Diceros bicornis minor: one gene and its partners. The protein of the gene in region 3 purifies or fractionates together with the protein of the main gene of each other region. This does not show direct contact. Links are inferred from orthologs where the notes say so. Each region holds a gene or a part of one and is shown on either strand. Other genes may lie near its edges. The genes, in order: TRIOBP, RAI14, PPP1CB and PPP1R12B.

Evidence for each region.
Region 1: the proteins of PPP1CB (region 3) and TRIOBP purify together in Homo sapiens (affinity purification with mass spectrometry; 3 studies listed by BioGRID and IntAct, with this or other methods). This does not show direct contact. The link is inferred for Diceros bicornis minor from reciprocal best matches to the Homo sapiens genes PPP1CB and TRIOBP.
Region 2: the proteins of PPP1CB (region 3) and RAI14 purify together in Homo sapiens (affinity purification with mass spectrometry; 3 studies listed by BioGRID and IntAct, with this or other methods). This does not show direct contact. The link is inferred for Diceros bicornis minor from reciprocal best matches to the Homo sapiens genes PPP1CB and RAI14.
Region 4: the proteins of PPP1CB (region 3) and PPP1R12B purify together in Homo sapiens (affinity purification with mass spectrometry; 4 studies listed by BioGRID and IntAct, with this or other methods). This does not show direct contact. The link is inferred for Diceros bicornis minor from reciprocal best matches to the Homo sapiens genes PPP1CB and PPP1R12B.

The regions. Positions count from the first base shown.
Region 1 is NC_080764.1:12,051,936-12,059,854, reverse strand, and holds the start of TRIOBP (TRIO and F-actin-binding protein), read left to right. Parts: upstream 1-4,909; 5' UTR 4,910-5,028; coding exon 5,029-5,142; intron 5,143-7,919.
Region 2 is NC_080759.1:34,338,151-34,345,212, forward strand, and holds the start of RAI14 (ankycorbin), read right to left. Parts: upstream 3,016-7,062; 5' UTR 2,816-3,015; intron 2,407-2,815; exon of another isoform or gene 2,340-2,406; intron 1-2,339. UniProt on the Homo sapiens protein: Plays a role in actin regulation at the ectoplasmic specialization, a type of cell junction specific to testis. Important for establishment of sperm polarity and normal spermatid adhesion.
Region 3 is NC_080751.1:54,244,968-54,252,553, reverse strand, and holds the start of PPP1CB (serine/threonine-protein phosphatase PP1-beta catalytic subunit), read left to right. Parts: upstream 1-4,572; 5' UTR 4,573-4,663; intron 4,664-4,879; 5' UTR 4,880-4,967; coding exon 4,968-5,019; intron 5,020-7,586. UniProt on the Homo sapiens protein: Protein phosphatase that associates with over 200 regulatory proteins to form highly specific holoenzymes which dephosphorylate hundreds of biological targets.
Region 4 is NC_080777.1:30,433,211-30,440,319, forward strand, and holds the start of PPP1R12B (protein phosphatase 1 regulatory subunit 12B), read left to right. Parts: upstream 1-4,101; 5' UTR 4,102-4,188; coding exon 4,189-4,479; intron 4,480-4,485; exon of another isoform or gene 4,486-5,116; intron 5,117-7,109. UniProt on the Homo sapiens protein: Regulates myosin phosphatase activity. Augments Ca(2+) sensitivity of the contractile apparatus.

The DNA of each region.
Region 1 (7,919 bases), on a different chromosome or scaffold from region 3:
TTAGTTTCCCAGAGGAGAGGCAGGGAGACCCTCCTCTCATGCGGGCGCCCTCTCACTCTCTCACCAAGCATTGACTGAGCCCCTGCAAAGCCCCAGGCACCAGGGATACGCTGGTGAGCAAGGGTGGTCCCTGCCCTCTGGGGACTTATATTTCATGGGCCAAAGCTGTGGGGACAGAGAGAAGACTGGAGGAGAAATAATAATAGCAACATTTGTTGAGCACGCACTGTATACCAGTCACTCGTTACATGCTTTAACTCACCGAGTTCTCCCCAGTAACCCCACAAAGGAGGCAAGTCCATTAAGCCCATGTTGCAGGTGACACACTGGGGTGGGGCCCCCTTGGCCAGGACACTGTCTTGGCTGAGTTCTAACTACTCACTGCCTCCCAGTTGGAGCCGGAATTTAAGTTGTGAGTGGCCTCTGGCTGGGCACCTGCACATCCCCAGGGAAGGATCCAGAAGGTAGATGTTCTTCCCCAAGGAAACGAGCCACACCTTAGATACATACGTTAACACTGCTAGACTGGCTGAACAAACCAAAGAAATGGAGGCGGAGATCCAGGATCTTTCCTCCAGGGGGCGCACGCACGTGGTCCGTAAAGTGAACGACAGCCAGGAGCAATGGGAGCCCTGCACAGGAGCGCAGCAAAGTGAGCCCTTGCTTCAGGCTGGAGAAGCCAGGAGGGGCTTCCTGGAGGGGGTGGCGTTTAAGTCATCACTAAGGGAATGAAAATCTATCTGCAATTTACCATTTCAGAGACATTGCATAGAATGAAGATTAGTTTGGTTTGACTCACAGAGTGTTTAAAAACAATTTGACTTAGCCATATTCTAAAATGTTGAGATTTCATATAAAAGTTCATATTTCTGGCTTCTCTAGTAAAAGCAAGCCTGGCCACCTTGGATCACCACTTCACAGGGTGGCTGTGGGCTGGAGCCAGCCCTGAAGACCCCTTTAGAGACTCATGCCTTCCTGCCCTGCTCCGCTGGACCACAGCCCCTGCATCTCTGCCGTGCCTGCCCAGAGCACATGATTCTCCTGCAGGCCTGTGGGCAGGAAGGGCTGGGATGACCATTCCCACGTGACTGCAGGAAACTGAGGCTCCGAGGGGCAGAGTGAGGCTGAAACCGTCAGTAATCATTCCGCTTCCCTGATCTCTGAAGAGTGGTGTCGCAGCCACAGGGAACGGCATGAGCAGAGGTGGAGATAGGCAGGCACAGACTCTTCAGGGAGCAGAAAGGGGGATGTGAGGCTGAGACTAAATGGTGACACATGGTGACACTGCCCTGGCTGCCACCGTTACGCCCTTGGCCCTGAGCCGTCTGACCCGTCCCGCAGAACTCTGGGAGGGTGATTTTTAAACCAGGCTCTGTCCTCGAGTAACTGAGTGGCTTTGGGAAATTTGCTTGAGTCTTGAGTTTCACTTCTACAAAATGGGGATGATGATGGCTGCCCTTCCCATCACAGGGATGGTGTTGGGAGAAATACTGGGTGTATGAGGAGGGCAGCTTCACCCTCTTGGGAAAAGGAAGGACAGTTATTCTCTAGATTACTAAAGGCCCTTCCTCGGGTCTCAACCACCCTCATGGCCACTGTCCCCCCACAAGAGGGGGGCTTCCTCCAACAGTCCCCTTCACTCCTCCCGACCACCCTTGGCTCCTTGGCCCCCTCGTCCTGCCTCCTTCCAATCGTCTCTCCTTCAGGACCCTGGCTGCTGCCCACCTGCCCGCCGTCCTCCCCTGCCCTCCAGGGGCCCAGCCAGGCGGCTCCAGAGCTGGGGAGAGCGCCCAAAACGACCCATCAATCGGGCCCCTGGACTCGTCCTCCTCTCCCTCCTTGTCCCACTCCAGCCTCCCTGCTTCTGTCCCCTCAGCAGAAACGCTCTTCCCCAGGACCTGCAGGCTCACTCCCTCTTCTCCAGGTCTTGGTTCAGGTGTCGCCATCTCAGCGAGGCCTTCCCTCCACCTCATTTAAAATGTAATGCCCTCCGACCCCCTTCCCTGCTTCGTTTTTCTCTTTAGCACCTGTCACCAGCCAGCATGCTCCATATGTTGCTTATTTATCTTGTTTGGGGTCTGTTTGTCTCCACTAGAATGTAAGCCCCATGAACGCAGGAGATTCAATCTTTTGTTCACCGATGGACCCTCAGCACACACAACTGACAAAGTAAAGGCTCCGTAAATGATTAATGAATTGAATTTAATGAATTGTCAGAAGTGTCACCCTGAGTTGGTTCCAGGTTTTATTGATTGGTGGGGGCTAGAGGGTTGGGGCCATACCCTGATCTTCAAACTCAAACCAAGTACCCACCCCACCCCAGGCTCAGAGAAGTCAAGAAACTTTCTGAAGACCACACAGCCAAGAAGTGCTAGAGCCAGATATTGAACATGAGTCTCGCTACTCCCTGTTTTGTTTACAGTAATTGGGACTGAGCAGAAAGTTCATTATCCTTGTTACGAAGCTGTGTTTTCACCCGTTCCGTCCTGGGCTGGGATAATCTGTTCTGGGGCTGTCTCTCCTACTGGTCAACAGGATCCTCATCTCAGAAGCAGCCACATTTTATTCATGTTACCATCTCCCAGTGCCCAGCGCAGGCCTGACATATACCAGATACATATGAATGTCTGAGTGAATTAGTGAATGAAGATGCTCGGTAGTGGCTGGTGGAGTCAGACACACCAGGGTTTTAGTCTTGGCTCTGCCACTTGCTAGCTGTGTGACACTGGTGAGTTAATTTCTCTGATCCTCAGTTGCTCTGAAATGAGCATCTTGGTACTTAATCCTTCAGGTTACTATGTCCTCATGAATGTAAAGAATCTGGAATAGGAGCTGGCACATAGACAGTGCAGAGTAAATGTTAGCTTAAAAAGGGGGGCAGTTAAAAAAAGGGGAGAGCTGTGCATTTTGTCAGTGAGCTCCACATCAGTGGAAGTGTGCAAATGGAGGTTGAAAACCCCCGGGGGCATTTCATTTCATCCTCACAGGTAGTTACTATTACTCTCCCCATTTTACAGATAAGAATATCGAGGCACAAAGAGGTTAAGTCTCTAGCCCAAGGTCTGGACTAAAGCCAGCCTAGGGGACTGTGGCGGGAATGAACAAACGGGAAAGAGATCAGAGGGAGCCAGATCCCAGTGCCAGCCCTCTTCAGCCCCTGGGGACCCTGACCCAACTGCTCAGGCTAAACGTGCGGCAGGTCCCGCGCTCGGAGGCATCTGGGCGCCGCCCGCCTCCGCCCCGCCCCCTGGCCTCGTGTTGTCCAATCACACAGTCTTCGTGTAAATGAAGCACTGGAGCGAGCCTATGCGGGAGCGGCAGGGGCGTGGTCTTCGTCCTCCTCCCGGGCGAGGTTCTGATTCATTGTTAAAAAGGCTGTGACCCCGGCACCCCAACCCAGACCCGCTGTGCGTGGAAACCCGAGCCGAGGTTAGTACTGGATACCGGAAAGCGGGGGGACGTTAGGGAGGACTGGTGGAGGGGCGAAGGATACGGGCAGGGACTGGCTGACGCGCTCGGTGGAGAGAGGTCCAGAGGTCCATTCTCCGGGCGGGGCATGCGTGTCCGCTGGTTTTTCATCGCCATGTCCACACCTGAAGTGCATTTTAGAGAAGGATTTGCCCGTTGGGGAGGAGGAAGTGGGAGCAGTAAGGGGCACGTGGAACAGAGCCCCCTACAGCCGCCCCCGGGGAAATAAGCAGCGTTCTCCCTCCGAGGCGATGCTTCTTTATGTGGCCAGACCTGGAAAGAACCGCCCAGGCTGGGCGGAAGGGATGCGCGCCCCCTCCCCTGGAAGCAGGGAACGACGCGAGGAGATGACGGCCCAGGGGAGATCGGAGACCCCGGGGCCACTGAGGGTCCAGTAGGTGCCCCCCCGCCCCCCCCAACACACACCGTGCCCTGCCGCCTCCCCAGGTCTGATGGTGGAGGAGCCAGGAACCCTCGCCCTGCTGCCCCAGGGGAGGACTTGAGATTCTCTAGCCCTCACCCCAGACTGGCAGCAAAGGCCTGATCCCCCCGGGACTCTGTGGAAGAAACTCATCAGGTGAGGACAGGTATGCACAGGTGAGCTGGGTACACCGTAAAATGAATGTGAGTTTTGGGATGTGGATTCCTCCCACGCCCACCCACCTCCTGGGGCTCTATGTAGGTGAAGAGGGCATCCTCATGTTACTCCTCTGTCCGGGCTTTCCCCCAGGGCATGGTGTGGGAGCCCTCAGTGGTGCCCAGAATGGAGAGCTCTGTGCTCAAGTCAGACACCAGGGTTTCTCTTGGGCTCAGCTGTGCTGCAAACTTGCTGTGTGACCTTAGGTTGTTCACTTTCCTCCATGACTGTGTCCTGGACTCTGAAAATACCTAGCCAGCCTTTTGCCTCACTCCCAGTGTTTCCTGAGGGACCTGTGTGAGTTGGCAGAGTGACCCAGTGCCCCTCACCTTCACCTCTGAGAGGGTTGGGAGGCACACAGATCTGGGTGTGAATCCAGTTCAGCCATTGGGACCTTGAGCAAGTTCTGGAACTTCTGTGAGCCTTAGGTGCCTCATCTGAAATTGGCATTAATTTTATCTCCAATGCAGGAAAACTGTAAGGCAAGGGGACTCAGACTTTGGGGTGCATTGAATCACCTAGGGGGACTTTAAAATGCACACCCCCAGGCCTCACCTCTAGAGATTCTAATTGGGTGGATCTAGAGAGGGAACTGGGAATATGCATTTTATGAACAGCTCGGCTGAGTCTCATGCAGGGTCCTTGGAACACACTGTGAGAAACACTACAATGACTAGAAATCACTTGTCAAATACTTGGCAGAGGGCCTAGTGCTAAGTAGGTGCTTAATGAGTGTTTGTTGAGTGAATAAATGAACAGATGAATGAATGGATGGATAACCTTGTTTCCTTGGTCTTTGTCTAGGGGCAAGCTGGGGCTGGGGTCCAGGTTGGCTTCCAGCCAGTCACCTGGTCCTTGCCTCCCCCATTCTTCCCAGGCCCTGCCACAGATCGCAGGAGCTGCCCTGGCCTCACTCAGCCAATATGGAGGAGGTGGCTGGGAAAGCCCCCTGTGAACACTTTGAGGCCAATGTGCTTGCCCAGAGCTGCTGTCAAAACTGCTTCCACCCTGAGGAGGCCCACAGAGCAAGGCACCAGGTGGGCCGGCTTTCCTGCGTGGTCAGCATGGTTAGGGATGGGGGAGTCCATGCGGACTGGGGCCTGGCTGGGCCGCTATCTTGCACTTGAACGCAGACACTGGCCTTCCTCCTGGGCAGAGCCGCAGTTTTCCATCTGTACAATGAGGTGGTGGGACCATGTTAACGTTTCCAAGTGCCAGTCATTCTCCTGCTTTTATGATTTTGTTGTTGTAACCTCATGTGATCTATTACTTACCTTTTTGCTCTTTAAATCAGTACCCTTTTCTTATACTGAACCAAAACTTTACCGCCACAAATAGAAGACTAGGATCATGTCCTTTAGATGGAAGGTTAAAAAGAAACAACAGGGGGCCGGCCTGGTGGCTTAGTGGTTAAGTTCACGTGCTCCGCTTCAGCCACCAGGGGTTCACAGGTTCGGATTCTGGGGGCAGACCTATGCACCACATATCAGGCCATGCTGTGGCAGTGTCCCACATATAAAGTAGAGGAAGATGGGCACGGATGTTAGCCCAGGGCCAGTCTTCCTCAGCAAAAAGAGGAGGATTGGCAATGGATGTTAGCTCAGGGCTAAGCTAAAAAAAAAAAAAATCCCCCAGTACCAACTGGAGACTTTCTCCTGGAGGGTGTGGAAGGGGAGGAGATCCTCATTTTGTGATCGAGGTGGTCTTAGGCCAAGCGCCAGTACACGTAAACCCAGAGTGCCTGGTACACATGCTGTGAGAAGCACGGGACCGTGAATCTCCACGGGCCCTTCCAGCCTCGACCCCTATGGCTCCATAATTCCCAGAGGGTCCTGAGGCTCCTCCTGAGCCCAGCAGCCAGCTGCACGCAGGGCACTAGGCTCAGACAGGTGGCCATCGTAAGGGAGTCGCTGTTCAGCCTTGGAGCCAGGCAGGCGGGAGTTCCAGTCCCGGGTTTGGCACTGACGTGCTGTGTGACCTAGGGTCGTTAGACCTCGCTGGCTTCATTCTCCTAATGGGTAAAGTGGGGCAACAAGGCTTCTTCTCACTCAGGGCATCTGGCACTGCTCAGCCCAAGTCACGTGTGGCTGATTCAATACACGTTAGCTTCCTCTCCCTCCTTCCCAACCAGAAAAGTAAACGCTGGAGATGCTTTCCTACCTGTCTTGATGCCTCCAATAACAGCTCGCTTACCCTCATGCCAAGTTCAGGGCACAGCTGGCTGAAAGCCTGGAGAGGCCGTCTCCTGTGCAAATGGCCTCCTCCCAGTGGGTGGGAGATGGCAAGCGTGGAACAGCGGGAGAAACTTGGGTGCAGACAGTCTGAGTTCCTGTCTCCGTCCCACTACTTACCCGCTGTGTTCACAAATATTGAATAGGTGCTTAAAATGTGCCAGGCATTATGCTAGATGTCGGGGAAATAGTGATTAAATAGAACAGACACAGTCCCTGGTTCATGGGGCTTGTGGTCTGGCAAGACAAATGGAGACTAAGAAAGTAATCAGGCAAAGAAATATTGAATCATGGTTGTGATAAATGTTGTAAGGGAACAGCAAGCGGCACGAGGGTAAATGATAGGGCATCAGGGGACGTTTCTCCAAGGAAATGACATTTCAGCTGCTTGGTAAAGGCTGTGGGAGCATTGGCCAGGGAAGTTGGGGCAAGAAGAGGGGAAGAGAACAGTATGTGCAAAGGTCCTGAGGCAGAAAGGAGGATGGAGAGAGGCCAGCGAGAGGGAGGGGCAGAGGAACTTGGGGACAAGGATGGAGAATGGGGTGGGGGCTGGGTCTCGCTGGGCCTTGCGGCCTTGCTGAGGACTTTGGACTTTTTCCTGAGAGGCATGGGTCCCACTGAAGATTTTAAACAGGGGAGTGATGTGACCAGATTTGCATTTTCCAAAGTCACTTTGACTGCGGGCAGAGAATGGAGTGCAGGGAGGGAGAGCGAATCTGGGTGACCAGAGGAGTTTACTGACTGCAGACCTCAGCAGGGGATAGAGGCTCTCCGGTCATGAGGATCTGGTGCTGATGAAAGTCTTGCTCACGGATGAGCAGTTTCAAACATGTGCAGTCACAAAATTTGTGTGTTAAAAAAGCATCCCCAGCCTTGATGGAGCTGTGCAGATACCAGCCGGATCCCTAATGACACCTAGGCGCAAACTCATCCCTGCAGCCCTGATAAAAGTATCTCCTGGGGCTGGAGCCAGTTCTGACATCTTCAGCTACCTAGAATATGCAGAAATGGCCCCAGGCCCCAGGTCCCAGGGCAATCCTTTCCAGGAAGCTGGCTCTAGCTCCCCTAGGATCCTGGTTTCTGGATGCTTCTCTGCTCTGCTCTCAGCTGAGTCTCCCACAGGCTGGCAGGTGGTATCCCTGGAAATCACACAGCCTTGACCAGGTCATGGTCAAATTCTGGAGGGAGGGAGGAAGGCTGGGTGGGAGGGTCCTGCTGTATGTCAGGCACCCACATCCCTTTTCAATGTATTTATTCTTAAGTGTATTTAACATTCTATTGATTTAACACTAATAAAATTCTATTTAATGCTTTTATGTTATTTATTAAATTTAAGATGTACGGACCAGGCACTGTTCTAAGCCCTTTACAAATATTAACTCATTTAATTCTCCTAACACCCCTTGGAGATGGGTCCTCTTATCTTCCCAGTTTTGTAGATGAGAAAACTAGGCTCAGAGAGGGAAGCCACCGGGCTGAGGTCACTCAGCTGGGAAGTGGAGGTGCCAGGATTGGGCCTGATGTCTGTCTAAGGCCAGGGCCGGTGCTGACCCGCCAGACAGGAAATCAGAGCCGGTGATTGG
Region 2 (7,062 bases), on a different chromosome or scaffold from region 3:
TAAGATCTACATGTACCTCAAAAACATAGTGACAAATTTAAAAATCCAAGTCGTATGTATATAGAATTACGCCATTTACGTAAAAGGTTAAACACACAAGCTTACAGATATTGTCTGTAGACACATAATATACAGAAGTACCAAAACATGTTTGGAAACTTTGCCGACTAACTTCACATTAGTGGTTCCCTGAGGATGGAGGCAGAGGAGGAGGGATGGATAAAATATTTCCATAGCAGTTTATTTTTATCAAGAGGGTAAGCAAATATGAAAAGATTAGCAACTCTTAAACATAGGTAGTGGAAAAATGGGAGACTTACTATATTCTCTTTTTATGTATGTTTGAAATATTTCACATTTTTACTTTAAAAGAAACAAAGGGAGACAGACAAAACTCCTCCACCACATTCTAATAACTCCAAAGCACAGTTGCCCTTAACCTCCAAACCTCAGTATCTTCACCTTTGAAACGGGGGTGATACTAGGTGTACCTGCCTCAAAGACGCTTCGGGAAGTGGCAGTCTGGAGAAATTCATTGTCAGCTACACTACCAGTGGGCAGGGACATTATATCATTCCCCCATTGAATCTCCAGGGCCCAGCAGCCATTCTTTTTATTCAATTTCACTGATAATAGTACTGAGATTTTTCAATAGGGTTATATCGGCCACCACCCCAAAAAAGCCATAAAACAAATCGAAGGAGTATAAATGATACAATAAATTAATTAAGCATCTCAATGAATGGAGATGAAAGACCCCCAACAGCCCAACATGGGACTACCTCTCCCAATTCATGTTAGGCAAGCACTGGTTAAAAATTATAAGAACTGCATAAATTTCCTCCCATAAAATCTGTCTTACAAGCCCAAGAGGAAAAAAAAAAAAGAGACTGGTTAGGCACCATTAAGAAAAGATGATCAGATTACATCTATCAGTAGTAAAACTCCCAGCCACACCTGGGAACAGGGCCCTGCAAGCTGGGGACAGAGCAATGAAAATCCAACCTCCCTATGATGCAGTCTCTCTTCTCCAACTTTGTTCGAACCTCAAGGAGGTGCGACTCTCGTCTCTAGAAAACCAGTTCCTCCCTCTGCCGGGCCCTTTCAGTCTTGAGATCACATTCCCCAGAGAACTGGCTGTTTCCCCATCCCAGAGCCCTTGCTATCGTCCTCTCCCGTCAGGAAAACGAAGACCTATCCAAATCACCTGTGAGCCTGCGGCCAAAGGAAGCCGCCTCTGGTCCAGGCGAGCAGCGTTGAGTCAGCAGATTTGCCCCAATGTTTGCAAATAAAAGTTGCGCCGGGCTGGGCTTCTCGGAGAAGAGGCTGAAGCTTGGATATATTGCCCAGGCCCAGGCCCTAGGAAGTCACCTGGAACTCCTCCACTTTACACTAGGCTCCATCTGCCCGGTCTGCTGCCTCTCCAGGCTCTGAGGCCCCCTTCACAAAAGAGGGGTGCGAAGTCCAAACGAGAGCGTGAGCCAAGGGTTAGCAGATGAAGCCCGCAAACTGCAGAAACTAAACCGCAGACACAAACCTGCCTAAGCCCGCAGCGGAGGAAACGTAGATTAGGGAGGGTACCCACCCTCCTGGGCAGAGGTTGGGGTAAATGGCGGGCGGGAGGGCGCCTCTCCTGCGGCTCCACATCCTCCCTCCTCCCTCAGTCGCGTCTGCCCCAACTCCAGCATCCCTCCTCCCGGCCCTCCTCGGAGCTACGGCGGAGAAGAGGACAAGAAGGGCGGGGAGGCGCCTTGGGCAAGGCGAAGGGCTCCTGGAGTCAGAAAAGGAACAATAGCCGACCCTCGGTTGCCCGAGCCTTCTCGAGTCTCCCGCTCGCGCCTTCCTCCCCAGCTCCCCTAAGTTCAGCGCGGAGGCGGGTCGAGCCCAGATGCGGGGACCTGGGGGAGCGGGGCGCCGGGAGGGCCAAGCAGGTGGGACAGGGTGCTGACTCGGCACACCCAGAACGCCCTGCCGGGGTCTGGTCATTCATTCCCACCTGCGCTCCCTCCGCAGCAACCCCGCGCCCTGCCCCAGCCGGCCTGCGAGTCGCGGGGGACCGAGAGGAAGCCCCTCTCCTAACTTGGCCAGGTCCTCCCTCTCTAGTCTGATCCCCACCATCCTCCTCTTCCTCTGTCCCCAAATCTGCCCTCTGCAGACAGTTGGAGGACAAGGGAGCGGTGGCGGGACGCTCGCTGCCACCCCTGCTAAGCTGCTCCGCCGGGCGCGCGGTCCCCGGCTCCTCGCTGCCTCCCTCGCCCGAGCCCCAGACACAAAGGCGGGGACGGGAGCCGGGGACCCCGCTCCGGGGAGCCTCCCAACTCTCGGCGCCGCGCACTCACCCCATCGAGGCGGCGGCGGCGGCTGCCCGGGCCCCGCTGGCTGCGCCACCCCGCCCGCCGCTTCCCCAGGAAAACGCGGCCGCCGGGCTCGCTTCCTGCTCGGCTTCCTGCGCCTCGGTCCCTCCTCCTCCCCCGCTGCGGGGGTCAGTGGGCGCCGCGGCTCCCGGGCAGGGCCGGCGGGGCGGGGGCAGCGGCAGCACCACCACGTGGCCGCCCGACGCCGGCCCCCGCCGACCCGGATCCCGCGGGAGCGGGAAGGGAGGTGCTAACCATTCCCCTCCCCTCCACCCCGCGCGGGCCCAAATTCCGCGGGTCAGGTGACCCGGCCCCGCGCTCCGGCCCGGACCTGCGGGAGGTGCTCCCGGCCCGTGAGGCACCCATCCCCTGGGCCCGCGCGCCCTGGGCGTCCGTGGCTTGCTTTTAGTTTTCCACGGATCGTGGGACCCTTCCCCACGGATCTGTTTCATCACCATCACCTGAAGTTCGTGGAAACCACCGGTACTCTGATCCCCGGGGTTAGGTCGCGTGAGATCCCGAATAGCATTCCTTTCTGGTCAACTTCCAAAGTGGTTTGTGGTCGTGTGGGTGTTTTAAAAGTCACTGATCCTAAGCGCTTTCTAACCAGAATCAAATCGGTTATATTTTCCAGAATTATTGAACAGAAAGTAAACGAGAATGTGCTCGTAGACTCTGGACTGAACCAACTGGTTGGAGTGACTGTTGCCTGACACTCATCAGGTGGCAGGAGAAAATCAGCAGCGTTAAGTGTCTAACTCTGCTCAGGAGTCAGGAGAAATCTACAGCCTGAACTGGCAGACAGGAATGGGGAACGCCCTCAAAGCAGTGTCTGGGCTGCAAAGGGGGACGGCCTCGCTCCCCAGGACCCCACGGCTTCCCTCCCTTCCCCAGACCGCTAAGACCTGCGTTTGAATCATAATGGACTCCTCCTTTAATTCCGAGGATTTCAAAGCTCTCCACCTACTCATTTAATTTGGGACGGGTTTTCCATTCATTCTAGTCATGCTAACCAGCTATGGCTTAGAAAGTCTTTTATTCACCAAAGCTCCTCCGTTCTCCGTTCTCCGGGTTAGCTCTGCATTCTTTGTGCAGGGCAGAAAGGTTCCTAGAATAAATTAGCAGTATGAGTCCCCAAAAGGGACTTAGAGAGCGATCCACTCTAAATCAATTGAGCTTAAAAAAAAAAAAAAGCCAATTCCAACCAGTGAAATTTGCCTAATAGAGTTCAATTTATGTCTTAGCCAGATCTTTTTTTTTTTTCCTGAGGAAGAGTAGCCCTGAACTAACATCTGTTGCCAATCTTCCTCCTTTTTTGCTTGAGGAAGATTAGCCCTGGCTAACATCTGTGCCAGTCTTCCTCCACTTTATATGTGGGTCAAGGCCACAGCGTGACTTGATGAGTGGTGTAGGTCCGCATCCAGGATCCAAACCGTGAACTGAGGCCTCTGAAGCAGAAGACGCTGAGCTTAACCACTACCCCTCCAGGCGCGCCTCATAACGTCTTGGCCAGATCTTTACGTCTACGTGTCAGACTTGATCTGTATCCCTACCCTCTCTACCCCCAAGCCAAGGGTACAGTCTTGTCTGAGCTTTAACAGATGCCATCAAACAGGGAGCAAAAGCTAGGAACCCAGCTGCGTGTACCTTCACCTGCTAAGTCTTACATCAGACATTCCTTAGAGAAGTGGTGAATAGCCAGTGTAAAGCAAGATGTGTGCACTCCTCTTCCTGTCCGTTATCCCCCTCAAATAAAATCACGCTCCAGAAGAAATGCGAACTGGCAAACTTCTTTTTGGTTGAATGCTGGCAATTTCTACAATGCAGTTTTTCATTGTGGTCCTATTAATGGTGTACTGTAGGTTATTTAGGGTGGATGATACTGCCGCTTGTGAGTTTTCTGTTCTGCTTTTGGCAGGTCAACCTCCTTCAAGGAGGGGCGACTGGAAAGGTGAGGTTTTGCCTTGGAAAATTAACATGTGCAGATTCGGTTGCTGAAGGAGTTAAAATATCACATTAAACAGTCATTGTGTAAGGCAGGGTCATCAGCCTTTTATTCACAGAAGCCCTGTCTCTCTCTTCTTTTTTTTCTCTTTTACTCTGCAAGGCCCGGTCCCAGCCACCTGCCAATGAGCCTACCTGCCTATGTCAGCCCTGTGGCTCCTGTAGGTGGCTTGTATGCTCTTTCTCCTTAGTTTATAATCTCACCTTCTAACATCAGTAAGTCCAACTCCTGGTGAAGGACTGTAGTGGAGGGAAGAACTCTTATAGTTAGTCCCATGTGCCAAGATCCTTTTCCAGATCCCTCCTCCCCTGAAACTCAAACCACTCGCTTCAGACCATAGCTGAAGTTCTGCCACCTGCGGGAGGATTGGTGGTCAAGTATGGGATTGAACAGCGTCTTCTCATCGGTTTTTGTGGTTTTTTTTGCCCAGGCCTTTTAGAAATGCTAGTTGGGTTCATGATACATTGAACACCACCCTTCAGAGGAGATCAGGCCCAGGTGAAAGTGTTTGAGAGAAGGAAGCAAGGATACAATGACCGTCTAGCCTGCGTAAAGTTGGTAAAACCTTTTTGGGAGGAACAGCACGTTGTATTTCAATAGGGGAATTACCCCAAAATCAAGGTAACTGTTGTGTGATATGTAGTACTAGGAGTAATAAAAGCAAGGGGACCAGGTTTCCGGACCCCATCGGAACTTCACCAAGTGTTTGAACCTCTCCTGGTCCCACTTTCCTAATCAGTAAAAGACAAGATGGCCTCTGAGAACTTTGTCAGCTCTGACATCCTAAGCCCATTCTCTTAGTGTGAGAGAATCAGTTTGAAGAGACTTGACAAGCAATTTTGTCCTTACATTTTATGGCAAAGCATCAGTCTTTAATTGTTCTAGCAGGTGAGTCTTGTCATACTATCAAGATTGTAAACTCCTAAGAGTGTTGCCATCCAGGACTTAACGGGATCCATAAATGGAATTTATTGATTGGTAGGGCTCAATTTTCATTTTTGAAATTAAATAATATCACATCCCTTCATTCTTGCCCCATCTCTCACCAATATCAGTTCTCCCCACATTAGGAACTTCTTAAGTCTGGAGAACCAAAGCTAAGACTTGTTGGGGTAAGAAGAAACTGTCCCTGAAGGAGGAAATAGAGATCAGTATCAGGGAGCCAAAAAGTAACCCTCCACTTTGTTTGGTGTTTGGTCAGGATCTGGCTGCACTTCTGGGTCTGGTTAGAGGCAGTGTGATTTAGAGGAATGTGGCGATATTGGAACCAGTCCAGAGAATGGGACAAAAACAATCAGAAGGTTACAGGGAGATAATCTATGGAAAAAAGCCCAAATATTCATAGAAAAACCACTTTCTGTATTTTCTTGGGGATGTTTCCAAATAGGAAGAAACTGTGACATGGGAGAAATTAATAAAATAACTTTAGCATTGTTTTTCTCAATTGAGTAAGACCACAGTAATAAAGTAGCCTGCAAACATTGATTGGCGCATGGTTGTTGAACTTGCCAGGAAGCCAGCAGAGATTTCTCCTAGGGTGGGTTACTACACTTTCCTTCTCAGTGACCTTGGGCCCCTGCTCTGGAGGTGAGGCTAAGATGCTTGGTAATAATACATTCCAAAGCCCTGCATCAGATCCCTGCTTGTAGGGGTGTGGCAGAGAAGCTAAGTGTCTCAGCCTTGACGTTACAGACCTGAGAAAGTCTGAAGACTGGCCCATGATCTCATATGAGGAATGTGAAGTCTGCAGAACTGTGCTGTCCACTGTGGTAGCCACTAGCCATGCCTGAGCACTTGAAATATCACTAGTCCAAATTGAGATGTGCTATAAATGTGAAATATACACCAGATTTCAAAGACTTAGGTTGGAAAAAAAAAAACAATGAAAAGTATCTCACTAATAATTTTTATATTGATTACATATCAAAATGTTAATATTTTAGATATATTAGGTTAAATGTATATATTAACTATAATTTCACTTATTTTTACTTTTTAAAATGTGGTTAACTAGAAAATTATGACTATGGGGCTTGCATTATGTTTCTATTGGATAGCACTGCTATAGGGGTTAATATAAGCAACTAACACATATTTTGCATCTTCTCTATACCGGGCATTTTTCTAAGTGATATATACATTAACTACAGTGGCCATATACTTAATTATCCAATCTGGGACAACTTTGACACTTTTGAGAGTGAAATGGGGCCGGCAAATTCTAAACCAGACAGGATACTAGGACAAAAGGCGTAAACTGGAACTGTCCTGAGTAAACTGATATTCAGGCCACCCTAATGTTAGGTCATTTAATCCTTACATCAACCCTGTAAGTACCATTATTATCTCCTTTGGGATCATGAGCGAACTGGAGCCCAGAGAGATTAAGTAACCTGCCTAAAGTCACACAGCTAGGAAGTGGCAATGTTGAGATTCAAACTAGGGCAGTGTGGCTCTAGAGCCTTCGCTCTTAACTGCTGTGCAACACTGTCTGCTTAAAAGCTCATATGGATTGAGAATTTAATAGATGCAAGGTTTTTCTTAATCTTCACAGCAACTTGGATGGAGTATTATCCTGTTTTTACAGATGCGGAAACTGAGTTTCAAATAGATCCACCAACTTGCCCAAATCACAGAGCCAGAAAGAGTGGAGCCAAGAATCAAGGCTTAGGATGCCCGACTCCAGAGTGGTCCTGTTAACTT
Region 3 (7,586 bases):
TTGTTTTATTCGAAACAAACCTTCACATTTTGTATACTTTTCTTCACCAACACACATAGTTATTTCCTGGTATCTTGTTTGAATGAGCAGTATGGGAGAGCACTGAAAGAGAAACAATCTCACACATGTAGATGACACGGTTTTATTGTAACAAACTAGGAGTGACCCAAATAGACAGCTGGCCCTGTAATCTAATTAGAAGAAAAAAAGAAGGGCCACAGACCAACTCTTCAAAAATTAAATAGTCATCGTTTGAGGTAGCTGCCCATCCAACTTTAATTGCCTTATAGTTAACAGTTCTACACAGCCAGTTAATTCCTTCAATTACTAGGCATTTATTTTGCAATCCTTTTATCTTGAAGGATATACTAGAGAATTAGTTTAAGAAACAACGCTCCACTGCTCCACTGACAGTTTGTGTGTGTGTGCTGGGGGATCAGAATGGGGGGTGGGGTGGGGGTGGGGGGAGAGTGACCAAGGGCAGGGGAAGAGACATTTGCTTCTACCTGGCTTTCTAATTTGGGGGGCTAAAATGACTGAGGACATGCCTTACAACTTAGCCGATAACTTTGGCGCTTGATTATTCTCTCAAGTATGTATTGAAATGAAACCAAAACTAAATCTTAAGGAAAAATCTTGGCCTCGCCTGAGTGTACCACCTAGCCCTGGCTCTGTATTGAGAGGGGTGGCCTCCTACTGATGCATGTGTCTTTGACTGGTTTCTCAATATCATCGAATTAAACCAACTACAAAAGCATATGACATTTGATATAGAGAATGGCTGATCTCAAGGTATATCCAGTAAAATTTACTGCCACTTAAGATTTATTAAAGACTTGATTAAGAGGGATCACACTTATGGAAGAACAACCCAATGAATGTCGATTCATTCATTTACAAGCTACCTTGGATTAGTCAGGGCAGCAGAGAGTTATATATCACTATCACAACCTCCACATTTTGCTACCTAAACCTACTGATTTTCACAATATATTGGCTATTGGTCAACATTGAGAGGCATGTAAAACATCCCTGTGAATGTCTGTGCTGTGTTTACTAAAAGGAATCATGAGGCTGCTGTACATTGTGTTCCAAAGTGCCTTCTTTGAGGACAATTCATAGAGATATCTCTCTGTTCTCAGCACAGAGATGGTTGGGTTCCTCTGAATACTGGTCTGCCTTTATCTAATGGTCACTGGTATGTCCCAGGCATTTCCTCTTAGTAAGTACAAATAAGACCATGATTTTATTAAGACCCAAAATCATGATTCCCCAAGACTCTTGCAATCAGGAAGTCCAATTTCCCTTCACAGACATTTCTGGAATTACCCAAGGATATTGACATTTGTGACCCAAATGTCTCCCTAAGCCCAGTGGTGTGCTGGTAAATGTTTAACAACCAGCTCTCTGGTGGAAAAAGCTATAGATTTATAGCATTTGCTAATTTCTTTGGTGTGACTACTCCCACTGTGGCCAATATGACGTCACTGAACATGGAGCTGGAAAGAGATGCATAGTAGCATATCATTATGTAGTATTTCCACCATACAGATATAATAGATGTAAAAAACCTCTAGACTATACATAATAATAAAATGTAGCAATATAAATCGGATATGATGAATTTTGAGTTATCATTACCTTTGTTCCTTTGTTTTTAGTATAATTTATTTGAAAGTATATAATTTAGTTATTAAACAATGGCTCTGTTTAACAACTGGCTTGCAAAATTCCTGCAAGTTTAACAATTGGCTCTCCTGAGCCAGTGTAAGCTGGCTCCAGGACACCACTACCTAAAGCCCCACTGGGTTGGGAGTCCCAGCTAACAGTTTGCCCTTTGGTCTGTTAGATTAACAATCCTGGTCTAACAAGGAGCAAGCCCTTAGCCTGATTCCTTTCCTGAGTCTTGCTACACATCCATAAAGAGTGACAGGCAGTTTCCTACATGCAATCAGAACCACTACTTGCCACTCCTCTGTTCCAAAGTCTGCTGGTCTCCAGGCTTGGGTGCTCTACAGGGCTGCTGCCCACCACAGTGCCTGGTCCAACCAATGTCTCCTACACCACTGGCAGCCTTCTTATGTCTCTGCTTCCAAGGTGCTAGCTTCCCCAAATGGTGACCTCCACTCTGCCCCCAGGCCACTGCTCATACTCAGGCCAAGAGCCTCCTCAATGTCAGCATCTGCCAAATGGGGCTTCCCTCTCCTTGGTACCCACCTACTCTTGAACCTCATGGTGGCTCCCACTGCCTCTATTGCTGCTGCTGTCTATAGCACTGTCAACTCCAGCCTCCAGATCTCCCCTCTTACTTCTTCCTCTGTCCTCAATCTCCTATCCACATTTTTTTTTTTTTGAGGAAGATCAGCCCTGAGCTAACATCCATGCTAATCCTCCTCTTTTTTTGCTGAGGAAGACCGGCTCTGAGCTAACATCTATTGCCAATCTTCCTCCTTTTTTTTTTTTCCCAAAGCCCCAGTAGATAGTTGTATGTCATAGTTGCACATCCTTCTAGTTGCTGTATGTGGGACGTGGCCTCAGCATGGCCGGAGAAGCGGTGCGTCGGTGCGCGCCCGGGATCCGAACCCGGGCCGCCAGTAGCGGAGCACGTGCACTTAACTGCTAAGCCATGAGGCCGGCCCCTCCTATCCACATTTTAAAGTCCAAAGAAAATTTGAAAACTGAGTGTCATGTAAATGTGGCACCAAAACTCATTGAACAAAGTAGGATAAGATGCAAGTGATGCATAATCTCAATTTTATAAAATAGGTGTGTGTGTGTGTGTGGATATATATATATATATATTTTTTTTTCCCCCCAGAAATAAGACAGGAAAGTGGTTATCTATGGATGCTGAAATTACAGGTGATTTTTATATTTTTTTCTTTGTTTTCCAAATTTCCTTCAATCAACACATTTTATTCTGAAAAAAAAGGCTACGTTAATGGCAAATTTGACCTAAACTGATATGAGGCATAATGTAGTCTTTATTTATCTTACATGATGTGAATATTCATGATTTCTTTAAAAAAATTAACGTTTCAGACTATAGTGAGCTGCCCCAGAAGCTGCTGGGGTGTTAAGTAATATAGAGTACATGCACCTCTTAAACTTCAAAATCTGAAGAATTCTGAATCTGAATTCTTATATAATTTTGGAGGGGGATTCCCACAGAAAAGTTGGTTGGGCCCCTAGTGATATAGCTCTTTCATTTTTATAACAGCCGTTTCTTTCCCAGGATTCCAAGGCACCAGAAAACCTGGTTGGGGGTGGAGAAGGGGACATCCGCAGGCAGTACTCAGAACCACTCTCCAATATATGCTGACTCCCAGAACTTGCTGAGTCTGGCCTCTCTCTGCCCCATTCGTGGTGATTTTCTCTCAGATGCTCATTTTCTTTGCGCAGTCCAGTTTCCTTTGGGTGTCCCTTGTCCATTAAATATATCTGCATATATTCGAACCTTAATTGTGGACAGGGTTCAAAGTTCTTTTTCATGGGATTCATGGGCCCCATGAAAACTGAAGGATAAGCAGACACCTATTTAAGTGTTCCCAAGCATTATGTTGCTCTTTAAGAGGCTCATGGAAGAGCCTTGGGAAAGTGGCATCTAACTCCACAATCTGATGTCTTCACGTCCCAGTTCCAGCTCAGCCAGAACACCTACCCCACTTGCAACCCATCTTTTCCTTGATTGCCAGAACGCTTAGAATCATATCTGTGGCCTATGCCTAGCAAACGATGCATTTTACATACAAAACTGCTGGTTTTATCTTACCTTTCCCACGCTGTTTTCTTTTGTCCTATTTTTCTCTGTACTTATTTTTAATTTATCCTACTGCATTTATTTACGTAAGCTACCTTAAACTCCTTCTTCTGAAATAAAGCAGAGTATAAATAAATGTTCTTTAACAGAGTAGACGGAGACGTAATGATGCCAGCCCGAAGGTACCTGAATACCCGATGACATCAGTAAGATATATATGAAAGCGCTAAACAGAAGGCAGAGAGTGGTATCCCCGTAAAATATTACTATTGCTAACCCTTCCAGGGCCCACTTGAACTTATTTCATCCAAGGACACTTGGACAACTAGCCTTGTGGAACGGTAGGGTATAAAACCCCTTATTTGCAACGTCAGATGTTTCCAGCAAAGGAACCCCTTCTTGCTTTTCAAACGCGCAAACCCGGGTTTCAAACATGAGTAACACAGTCCGCGTTTCCCGTTTAACGGAAACAGGAGGAATTGCTTGCAAAACCAGGGAATAAAGCCAAGAAAAGTAAAGCGAGGCGGGAAACGCACAACTACTGCGTCTGCACAGCGCCCCAACAGAGGCCGCTGGGAACCCGGAAGAGCAGCACAACCTAAGCGCGCTCTGCGTAATGGGAACTTCCTCGGCGCAGCAAACCCGGGGAGCCTCTTGGGCGCCTGCGCGCTGCGGCGATTCGGCGCAGTGAAAGGGGCGAGAGAGGGCGACGCACCTGCGCAAAGGGGGCGGCGGCGGGCGAACCGAGTCCAGTGCGGTTGCGCGAAAGCCGGGGCGTGCGGGGGGGGGGTGAGGGCCGTGGAGGAGTTCGCCGTGCGCCTGCGCGGAGGTCTGCGTGGCGCGGTGGCGGGGAAGGGCGGTGTGGAGTGAGTGGCCCTGCGGGTGGGGCCGTCGGCGGCGCTGGTGAGCTTTGCGGAGTTGGGCGGTGCCGAGGAGGAGGAGGTGGCGGCTGGGTCTGACGCGGCCCGGTTCGTGGGGGCTCCGCTTGTTTATTTATTTATTTCTCGAGTGTGCCTCCGAGTGTGCGCGCGCTCACTACTTGGTGGGGAGGGGGTGGGGGGAGGGCCCCGGGGCAAAGGGGGAGTTGGAGCCGGGGTCGAAACGACGCGTGACTTGTAGGTGAGGGAACGCCGAGCCATCGCCGCAGCCTCCGCCGCCGAGAAGCCCTTGTTCCCGCTGCCGGGAAGGAGCGTCTGGTGCCGACAAGATGGCGGATGGGGAGCTGAACGTGGACAGTCTCATCACCCGATTGCTGGAGGGTGAGTGCGGGGCCCGGCCGGCCGCAGGGGGGCCGCCTGCCTCGGTCCTCGTTCCCGCTCCGCCGCCGACATCCGAGGGGACCCCCTTTCCCGCCCCAAGGCGGCCTCCGAGGAGGGGGCGAAGAGGCCGGCTGGTCGGGGGAGCGGCCTCCGGGAACGCGGTCGGGGGGAGGCAGGGCGAGAGGGGCTGTCCCTGCAGGTGGCCGGGCGGGCAGTGCCCCCGCGGACCTTCGGCGACCGGGCCGGCGGCGCGCCAGCCGGGGGGTGCTCGGAGCCCCTTCCCAAGGAGGGCGCCGGGATGCGTGCTCCTGTGCGTTGTGTGTGCGTGGAACGTGTATTTCTCTCTGTTCTCTTTGTGCATTGCCCTTGGCTGTCTTGGATTCTTGTTCCGGGAGTGAATTTTATAAAAACCTGCTTGAGACGATTGCTTGATCTAGTGTTCTACGTTTTCATATGATGCTATAGGACGAACTCTATTTAAGGAGAGGATAACATTAGCGGGAGTTAAGTACCTCCCATTTGTTGTTTAGCTTAAAAAAATAGTAAAACAAAAGTCGTTGAGCTGAAGATGCACGCAAGAACTGTGAAATATGTAGATACGTTTGCTGAAGGGATTGGCTTTCCGGCTTGAGAATTGAACAGGTTTCAGCAGGATTTAATTTCTGCACGAACTTAGAAAAGATCTGTTGTAAAGATTCTCGTGTTTAAAAGGTATTTACAAGTCTTCGCAGCTTTTGAAGTTTACAGGCTCTTCTGTTTTTGTTGAACAGTTTTATGTTGGGTTAGGGGATTGAGGGAAAGCGAAGAGATCTCGGAGAGGCCAGGATATTATTCAAAGTTAATCGCGGTCTTCTGCCAGTGAATCCCCGTACCCTAAAATTTGCGTCATCACTAATTGCTTTGTGAGTGTGTAGAAAAGAAATTAAGCCTTTACATTTAGAATCCTCTCTGTCAGGAACCAGCGAAGGATTGCATATGCAGTAACTGTTATTACTTCCTTTCAGATTACCTGAAGGTAATTGTTTACTACAGTGAAGCAGTCTGTAGTTACATTTGGAAAATCATCAAAGAAGATTGTATGATTGGGAGTGGGGGGAGGGCGCTAGTTCCTTTTTTCAACCAGTATGTCGATATCTCATCGGTTCTGTATGTACCCATTGTGTAACAAACTACAGTTTATTTGCTCCAGATGTGAAAGCCTTCCAGCAGTCTAAGACTGAATGAGAAGCAAAGTTTCATCGGGAAGTCTTATTTACCTTTTCCTTTACTATCAAGTTATTCCTGGGAGGCCCCCTGGTGCCTGCAGTCAGTGTTCACTACTTAAGACTTTGTGGACTTTAACAGATGTGCACATCTTGCTGGGTCTGTGAGACATTTGCTTTGACAAAAATTGTATTTTGTAATTGTGCCTTGTTGAAAGAGGAAAATATAGCTATTTAAGAACTTTAATGTCTTGTTAACTCTTGGGGAAGTTTAGGCCCATCACCATTTTTATACATTTTAAAATTGGCTTGTAAATTTAAATATTTTAAAAATTTAATGTTTTTATATCAACTTCTTCACTTTTATTTTCCATATACTTACATATTTATATACTTCATAGGAATAAAATGGTAGATTTATGTATTTCGAAATGGTTGATCTGGAACTTTTTAAGTCAAACGTACTTGTTTTTTTTCCCCTTTGTGAGGGAGATCAGCCCTGAGCTAACATCCGATGCTGATCCTCCTCTTTTTTGCTGAGGAAGATTGTTCCTGGGCTAACATCCGTGCCCATCTTCCTCTACTTTATCTGCGGCTCCGCCACAGCATGGCCTGACAAGCAGTGCATCCATGCGCGCCCTGGATCCGAACCCTCGAACCCTGGGGCTGCGGAAGCAGAGCTAGAGCACTTAACCACTTGCACCACCGGGCTGGCCCCTAAACGTATTTTTTTGTGATTATAGATATGTCAGAAGCTTCACTAGTGGATTGTTCAAGGTTATTGGAAAAAAGATATGGTAGGAAAAATAGGCTGAGTGAGTGATTCCATTTCTTTTTGTGAACTCAAATTGAACGTTTGGTTTTGGACAATCTTTTTTCCTTCTTTTGGTGAGAATTCTAGTCCAGACATTTTCCCCTTTTAAATTACCAAGCATTTATTGACCTGCTTTGTGCCAGTCACCAGGAATCCAAAGATAAGACACAATCTCTTTACTCAAGGAGCTCCCAGTCTAAACAAGTGATTTTCAGGCTTTCCTAGCCTCCTCTCTGTTTATGTGTTCAACACACTCCCATCAGTAAAGAATTTCATTACTTGCTTCTTAATCCCAGGAAGTACATTTAGTTTGACAGTGCCTCTCTGGGGTTCTTAAATTCTCCAGGCTCCTCTCCTTCCCCCCTTCAAAATTTAGACCCATTCCAAAACAGACTTTGATTTTCTAATAAGTATTTTTAGTCTTCAAATAAAAATTTTTTTGTCTGCCTTGATTTTCAGTGATGTTACATGCTAATTAAATTTAACTCAAATTCAACTGGTGGCATTTTGTAAAGCTGCCTAGCAGAATAGCTACAGTTAATTTTTTTTTT
Region 4 (7,109 bases), on a different chromosome or scaffold from region 3:
ACAGAGACACCTCCCGGTGCTGCCCGGCTGCACCGCTTTGGGTGGCCAGTACTGCTCCACGTTTCGGTTACGCGGTCGGCTGTGCTTGTCAGAGCAGAGAAGGAGCTGGAAATCACCTCAAAGAAGGAATAGTGAAATGAAACGGAAATACTTGATCTGAGGAAGGGCGTACGTGGTACTTATCTTCGTTTAAGTATTTTTCATCTGGAAGATTTTACTGCTTCAGAGGACACGTCTAAGACCAAGGGGTGAATATTAAAGCGATACAAAATTTAGCTCAATAAAGCATTCTAGCGATTACAAATCTGAAGAACAGAACAGGTAAACCTGGGAGATAGTGAAGTCTTTCCTCACTGGGAGTTGGTTAGGGATGGCGCAGAAGGGATGCTTGCATTGGGTGGCGTTTGGAAGAGATGACTTTTAAGCCTTTTCTAACTCTAAAAGTGTGGTCCTACCTGACCAAGAAAGTACCTGGTCATAGCTGAGCCAGCCTTGACTTCTCGAAGGTTCCTCTGCCAGAGGCGAATGCTGCATGACCTGACTTGAATCTAGAGGACATGGCAGGAACTTGACTAGCCTTCACTAACTTTGAATGCTGTGGGTGGAAAAAACCACAGCAAGCCCTCATCTCACTGCTTTCGGCTCATTGTGTGGCTTTGGAACAGCGCTGGCATAGGAGTAATGGCCAGTTTTCCTAAACGTGCTAACCAGTATAATTTTAACTACTGCAGTGATTTCTGCATTTAGTCCAAATTGGTGTTGAGTAGCAACTGGTTTCCCGTGACCACTGCAAGGTGTGTTCTCTCCTCCAGAGACCCACACATGCACCAGGACTCTGTCCATGATTCTACCCTGGGGATCCTCACATTGGTAGTAGGAATGAACCAACTCAAGTAGCTTATGAATTACAAGCGTAAGGAATCCTGTTACTGTCCAGCCCAGTTTCCAGTTAGCTGTTGAGGTTTTGATTTATGGTCAGCATTTACTCATTGTAGTGAAGTGTTTCCTGTCATAATTCTGGAGTTGGCTGCTTATTTCACTGCTGATACTTTCTGATTTAATCCCTTCAATGTCTTCTTTTATTTTCTTCCTATCTCAGTTGTGTCTCAATTACAGTTCTGTCTTCAGAACTGAAATTGATTACTTTCTTGGGTGGATCTCTGAGAAGAGTCTTAGAAATGTGTCTTAGAAAAAGCAGGAACTGTATTGAGTCTGGTGGAAATGAGAGATGGCCTGTAAAACAAGCAAATACCTGTAGTTTTGACAACCAAAATGAAAGGATTAGATAAAAGAAAAAATAAAAAGTACTTTATGGGCTAAATATACAGTTTCCATTTGTCCACCAGAGGGAGGTATATTAACTGGTGGAAATAGAGGCCAGGCCGAACGCTTTCCATAAACTGTGTACAGGTGTCATTGCTTTTAAAAATGGAGTATTCTAATATTGTAATTTATTTTTTTAAGAGCATGTGTGGAGAATTGTTATTTAATAAAAGTTCTTCAGTTTATACCAAAATTTATATGCATCATAGCCAGCTCACTTAGTACATTTAAAAGAACAAAAATTGTGTCTTATTTATGCACAGGATTATTTGTCAGGATTTACTCACTTGGATACAAAATACATTTTCTTTAGAGTATTTGTTTAGGAAATCTAAACTATCATGTTTGTTTAATAAGTTGATTGTATAAGTTTATTCTCAGAGAGCCCTGATTGGGGGAAGATGTGTCAGGAAAAACTTACGTGATTTTAATTTTGAAAAACTTCAAGCCATTATATGTAGATTAATTTTGTTGTATTTTTTTGGCATAAATTTTTTTTGTCTAAGCTGGTTAAATTAATTAGATTATAATAATTAATTACTGCTTTCTGTAATCACAGAGCTGAAAGATATATTTCTCTTCTTCCAGGTAGGCATGCACTTAAATTATCCAAGGATCTTAACTACTTATATTTTACTTTAAAATCTACAAAGAGGGTATTACACTCTTAACTACCTCAGGAAAAAAAGCAACTAAAATAAATTTAGTAAGGAAGTTCTTCCTGAAACTGAATTTCTTCCTGTTGAAATTTAAGTTCACACCTCTTGGGAAAGTAAGGATTTAACTTGGACTTAGTCAATTTTAGCTTATTTATACTCCTGGAACCAGATAGTTCTTCCTTCCTGATTCTGAATGCAAAAAGAATACAGCCAAAAGAAATGTAACATTGTTGATTCCTGAAAATTTTACTCCAGTTTAAAAATCCTTATTAGAAAACCAGTATGTCAGTAAAATATACAGTTGAATGATACATACTTTTTTTGAGCAGCTGTTGTGTACCAGGAGCACAATATTAAAATGGTGCACATGGCTTGCTGTCTGTCAGAGATGTGCTTCCTGAGATTTCAGCAATATGCTTTATTCTGAAACCTTGCCCCCTCTCACTTTTTGGCTTCCTTGCCAGATTGGCAGAGTTAAGCTTATAATGTCTCTTGAAGAGAGTTAGGCTTCTAGCTGGGTATTGTTTCCTATTTGATTTAATATCAATGTTTCTTTTATCCTGTAGGGAGAGTTCTGTTTTAGAGTTTGTGGGCAATTTGCATTATCAGCAAGAGGCTGGGTTGGAATAAGAAGGGGTTCCATGTCAACAAGTTCTAAAGTAAAACGCATACAGAATTTTTAATTGCAATAAATGATGAGGCATGATAAGTTCTTGGTGACTCTAAATTAGTGGACGTCACAAGGAAAACAAGGCTATATAAAGTATACATTATTACACCTTGATTATTTTTATGCACATTGTTATTCACAGTTCATAAAGATGCTGTAAGACTTAATTAGTATTTATAAAGTATTTAAGAATACCTAATTAAGCATATTGTGGATAGGCACAATATTATTAAACATAATATTTTGCATTTATATGTCGCTTTTCATTTGGTTCTCAGTTCATCTCGGGAAATTGAAGCACAGGCAAATGTTCACATGATAGAATATAATAAAGTTTCTCTTTACAGTGACCTAATCATTTTTGCAATATTTTTTAATGAAAAATGTCAAACATGCAGAAAAATTTAAAGAACCTAATAATTGTACATGTTCTCTTTCATTATAGATAACACAATTATATTTTGTCCAGGGCTAAGGCCCTTGGGCGTATAGTTATTAAATCGATCTGACAGGTTTTATAACCAAGTTCATGGTGCATATGAAAATGTCCTACTTGCTGCCTTAGGAGTTTAGGATGCTGCGTGGTATCTTTTTGTAGCTTTGGGGAAAAAAAAATCATGGATGGCAAGACATCCATTCTGTCTCCTAAGAATTGAAGATCCATGGAAAGGGTAGAGGAGGAGGAGGGAGGATGAAAGGAAATTAATATTTATTGTGAGCTGATATATGCTGGGATAGTACTAGGTATCTTCGCGTATACAGTGTTATCTTATTTGATCCACACGACTACCCTGTGAGGTATTATTATTCCCATTTTATAAATAAGGAAACAGGTTCGGAGAAGTCAAGTCACTTGTCTAGGGATGTGAATTCAATTTGAATTCAAAGTTTATGCTCTTTCCACTATACCTGGACGCATCCTTTGCAGGATGTTTTCGGGGCCTTGACTATAAGTGTCACGTTGAACGAATTTATGTAGTATATGTAACACTGTGTGTGTGTGCATGCTCCTCCTCATCACGCACATTTACGTTTACTTTAACAATACACGTTAATAGATTACATGTGATGATGTGAATAAAACTGTAGATTTAAAACCAGGACATGGATTTGAGTCTTTCAGGTACTTTATGAAAATAGGGATAATTACTGCTCCTTTTCCACTTCAAAGGACCGATGTGACCATTAGGGAGCCAAGATGAGTGGGTGTCAACAAGAATAAACGACGACTCCTAACCGTCCAGGGAGGCTGGCCCTGGTCCGGGAGACTGGCCGGCTCGCCCCCGCCCCGCTGCATCCCGGGACTCGTAGTCCCGAAGGCCGCGGAGGCTCTCACTACGAGTCCCGTGAGGTCCCATGCGCGGCCGCGCATGCGTGTGAACGCCGAAGCGCGCGGGCGGGGCCGCGCGGGAGAAGTAAAGATGGCGGCGCTTGCGTTTCCGGCTTCTGCTCCCGGCTGAGGCTCTCCGAGGGACAACACGGCGACTGGAGCCGCCCCCGCGGCGTGGGGCGGGAGGGCGGCGGCGGGCCGGAGCCATGGCGGAGCTGGAGCACCTGGGCGGGAAGCGGGCCGAGTCGGCGCGGGCGCGGCGGGCCGAGCAGCTGCGGCGCTGGCGGGGCTCGCCCACGGAGCAGGAGCCCGCCGAGCCCCGGGGCGCCGGGCGGCGGCCGGCCTCGCGGCGCGGGAGCCCGCGGGTGCGTTTCGAGGACGGGGCCGTGTTCCTGGCCGCGTGCTCCAGCGGGGACACGGACGAGGTGAGGAGGCTCCTGGCGCGGGGCGCGGACGTGAATACGGTCAACGTGGACGGCCTGACTGCCCTGCACCAGGTAACCCGGTCCCGCGGTCCGGCCGCCGGGGAGGGTCCCTCGGGCCGCGGTGTCACTCCGGCCGGCTACCCCCGGGTCAGCGCTTTCCCGACCTCATGGTCCCCACCGAGGGACGTATCACCCGCTGCCCGGGCAGGGTTTGTATTTCCCTCCGCCTGCTTGGGTTGCCATGGTTACCGGTGGTTGGGTCCCCGGTGTCCCCGGCACGTAAGTCATCCTCACTTCTGCCAGTCGGTGTGCCTGACACCGTGTCACTCGTAGGCACGGTCAGTGTCGTCTGTCCGGTGGCCTTTCTGAAAGTTCAGTGTTCTGCTTGTGCGGCCCTATCATGGAGTATCTTAGATCCCTGAAAGAGTAAACCCCTGTGTGGAGTCAAGGCAAGCAGATCTGAAACGGCACCTCTTGTTTTGCAGATTTGTCGTGATTCAGAAACAGTTTGTGTCTCCTGCAGGCTGTAGCTCCTGGGACACCCCCTTATTTTCTTCCTCGCAGTGTTCCTTCCTAAGAGCTTCCTATGGAGAACCAGCCATCCGAATCACTTGCGTTTGATATTATGGAATAGCCTTCTGTAGAAATCGCATGCCCTATATACAGCTATAGTGTGTGGATTGTGGATAACTTGACAGTTTTGTGCTTGGTAATAACACCTTTACTTCTTTCATCTTATACAACAGTATTCTATATATACTGACTGTCGTAGCTGGCTCCACCCTTCCTCCCCAAATGGAACTTCGTCACTTATTTTCGTGAGATGAGAGCCAGGCACCCCCTCTTAATCTTCCCTCTTTTTCTTCTACTGTCCATGCAGTAAATGTGTTGGCATGAGAACCTACTTCTAAATATTAATTCAGTTTTGTGTCATACCACTTCCCTGAATGTATTAGCCAACATTCATATAGTCTGTTGCTGTTTAAAAATTATTTTATATGCATCTCAGCAGTGATCTTTTGAAGTAGGTGTGGCAGGTAGTGTTATTCTCATTTAACAGATGAGTAATCTGAAGCTCAGAAAATTGTTACTTTTACAAGATTAGAAAGGAGAGAAGTTGCCCCTAGGCATGAATTTTTCGGATTTAAATTCCAGAGCTTTATATCCTACCTGATAAGGAGCTAAATATAAATAAGATAGATACTAGGAGGGCTACATTCATTATTCTAAATTTCTGAACTCTGACAAGGTGAATTTTTATTTATTTTTGTGTGTGTGTGAGGAAGATCAGCCCTGTGCTAACATCTGCCAGTCCTCTTTTTGCTGAGGAAGACTGGCCCTGGGCTAACCTCCATGCCCATCTTCCTCCACTTTGTATGGGACGCCGCCACAGCATGGCTTGCCAAGCCGTGCGTCAGTGCGCGCCTGGGATCTGAACTGGCGAACCCCGGGCCGCCGCAGCAGAGCGCGCGTACTTAACTGCTTGAGCCACCAGTCCTGCCTCATGAACTTTTATTTTTTAAATGTATTTGGGATGTTAAGGAGTTTGAGATCTGTATTCTGGAAGAAACCATTTCATGGGTTCATAAAGGGTAGAGAACTAGAACCCAGCTTTCTAGTTCATGTGTACCTTTATTGAATCACTCACTGTTCTATCAAAGCACAGATTTTTTAGTGTAACTCAGTAGCCCTGTTTTTTTTTTAAGGTGACTCTGCTAGCCGTACACATTTTAATAACACCCTGAGAAAAGCACCTACTTTGAGGTCACTCTTGGTAGAGCTCCTTCCCATACAGGTAACCACTTTTCTGATCCCTTCTCCTGAGACTGACCTCCTTGGTGCCTTTCCTTCTCTCTTAACTACCACCCCCGATTGTGAAGTGCAACTTCTCTCAGTTAATATGATCTTCACATTCAGTAATCTCTTGAAATAGGAGAAAGGAGATGTCAGCTCTGGACTTTTTTTTTTAACACCTGCAAATGCAATGTAGGCATTTCTCCCTGTTTACAGGGCTGGCAGTGAGTTGAACTGAATAGGTATACTCAGTACTAGACAAAGCTAAAGATTAAGCTGCTGGAAGATTTCGGGTCAAACAACCTTCTGTTGAGAAACCATCTCTTTGTTTGAATCAAGACAAGGGGCCTTTATTGGCTCGGGAACTCTTTTACAAGTCAGTTTCTGCAGAGTTACAATATGTTTCTCCATAGTCTGAAGAACTCTTAAGGTACATAAAAGATTATTTTCAAAACATGAGACTGGAGCTGCCAGTAGCTGAAGAACATACTTTATGACTGATTGTCCTTTTGTGAAATGGAGAGTCGTACAGTTATCTGAATTATTTAGTTAAAATAGCCATCTGTTATGTAAGCATAATATGAATTATCAGGATAATTCCTTCCTTTCTCTTGTTTTGGCCATGGCCCCTTGACCAACTGTGGGTTATCATTTTGGCATGTTGGAAGAAACCCCCAGATGATATTGGGGGACGATTTTTCTCCTCCTCCCACAAGGTCACAGTAGATGATTTGCACTTCAGGTTGTGGTGCCTTGATGCTACTTTTGACTTAGGGACCTTTCTTTCTTGGCAGCCTTTGCTTAGGCCACGAGGTTCTTGAGTCAAAGATAACAAGCTCCAGGGGGCCTGTTAATAATACTTGAAATAGACTGGGATAGGGAGTATCTCAAAGGTTAGACCTACTCTG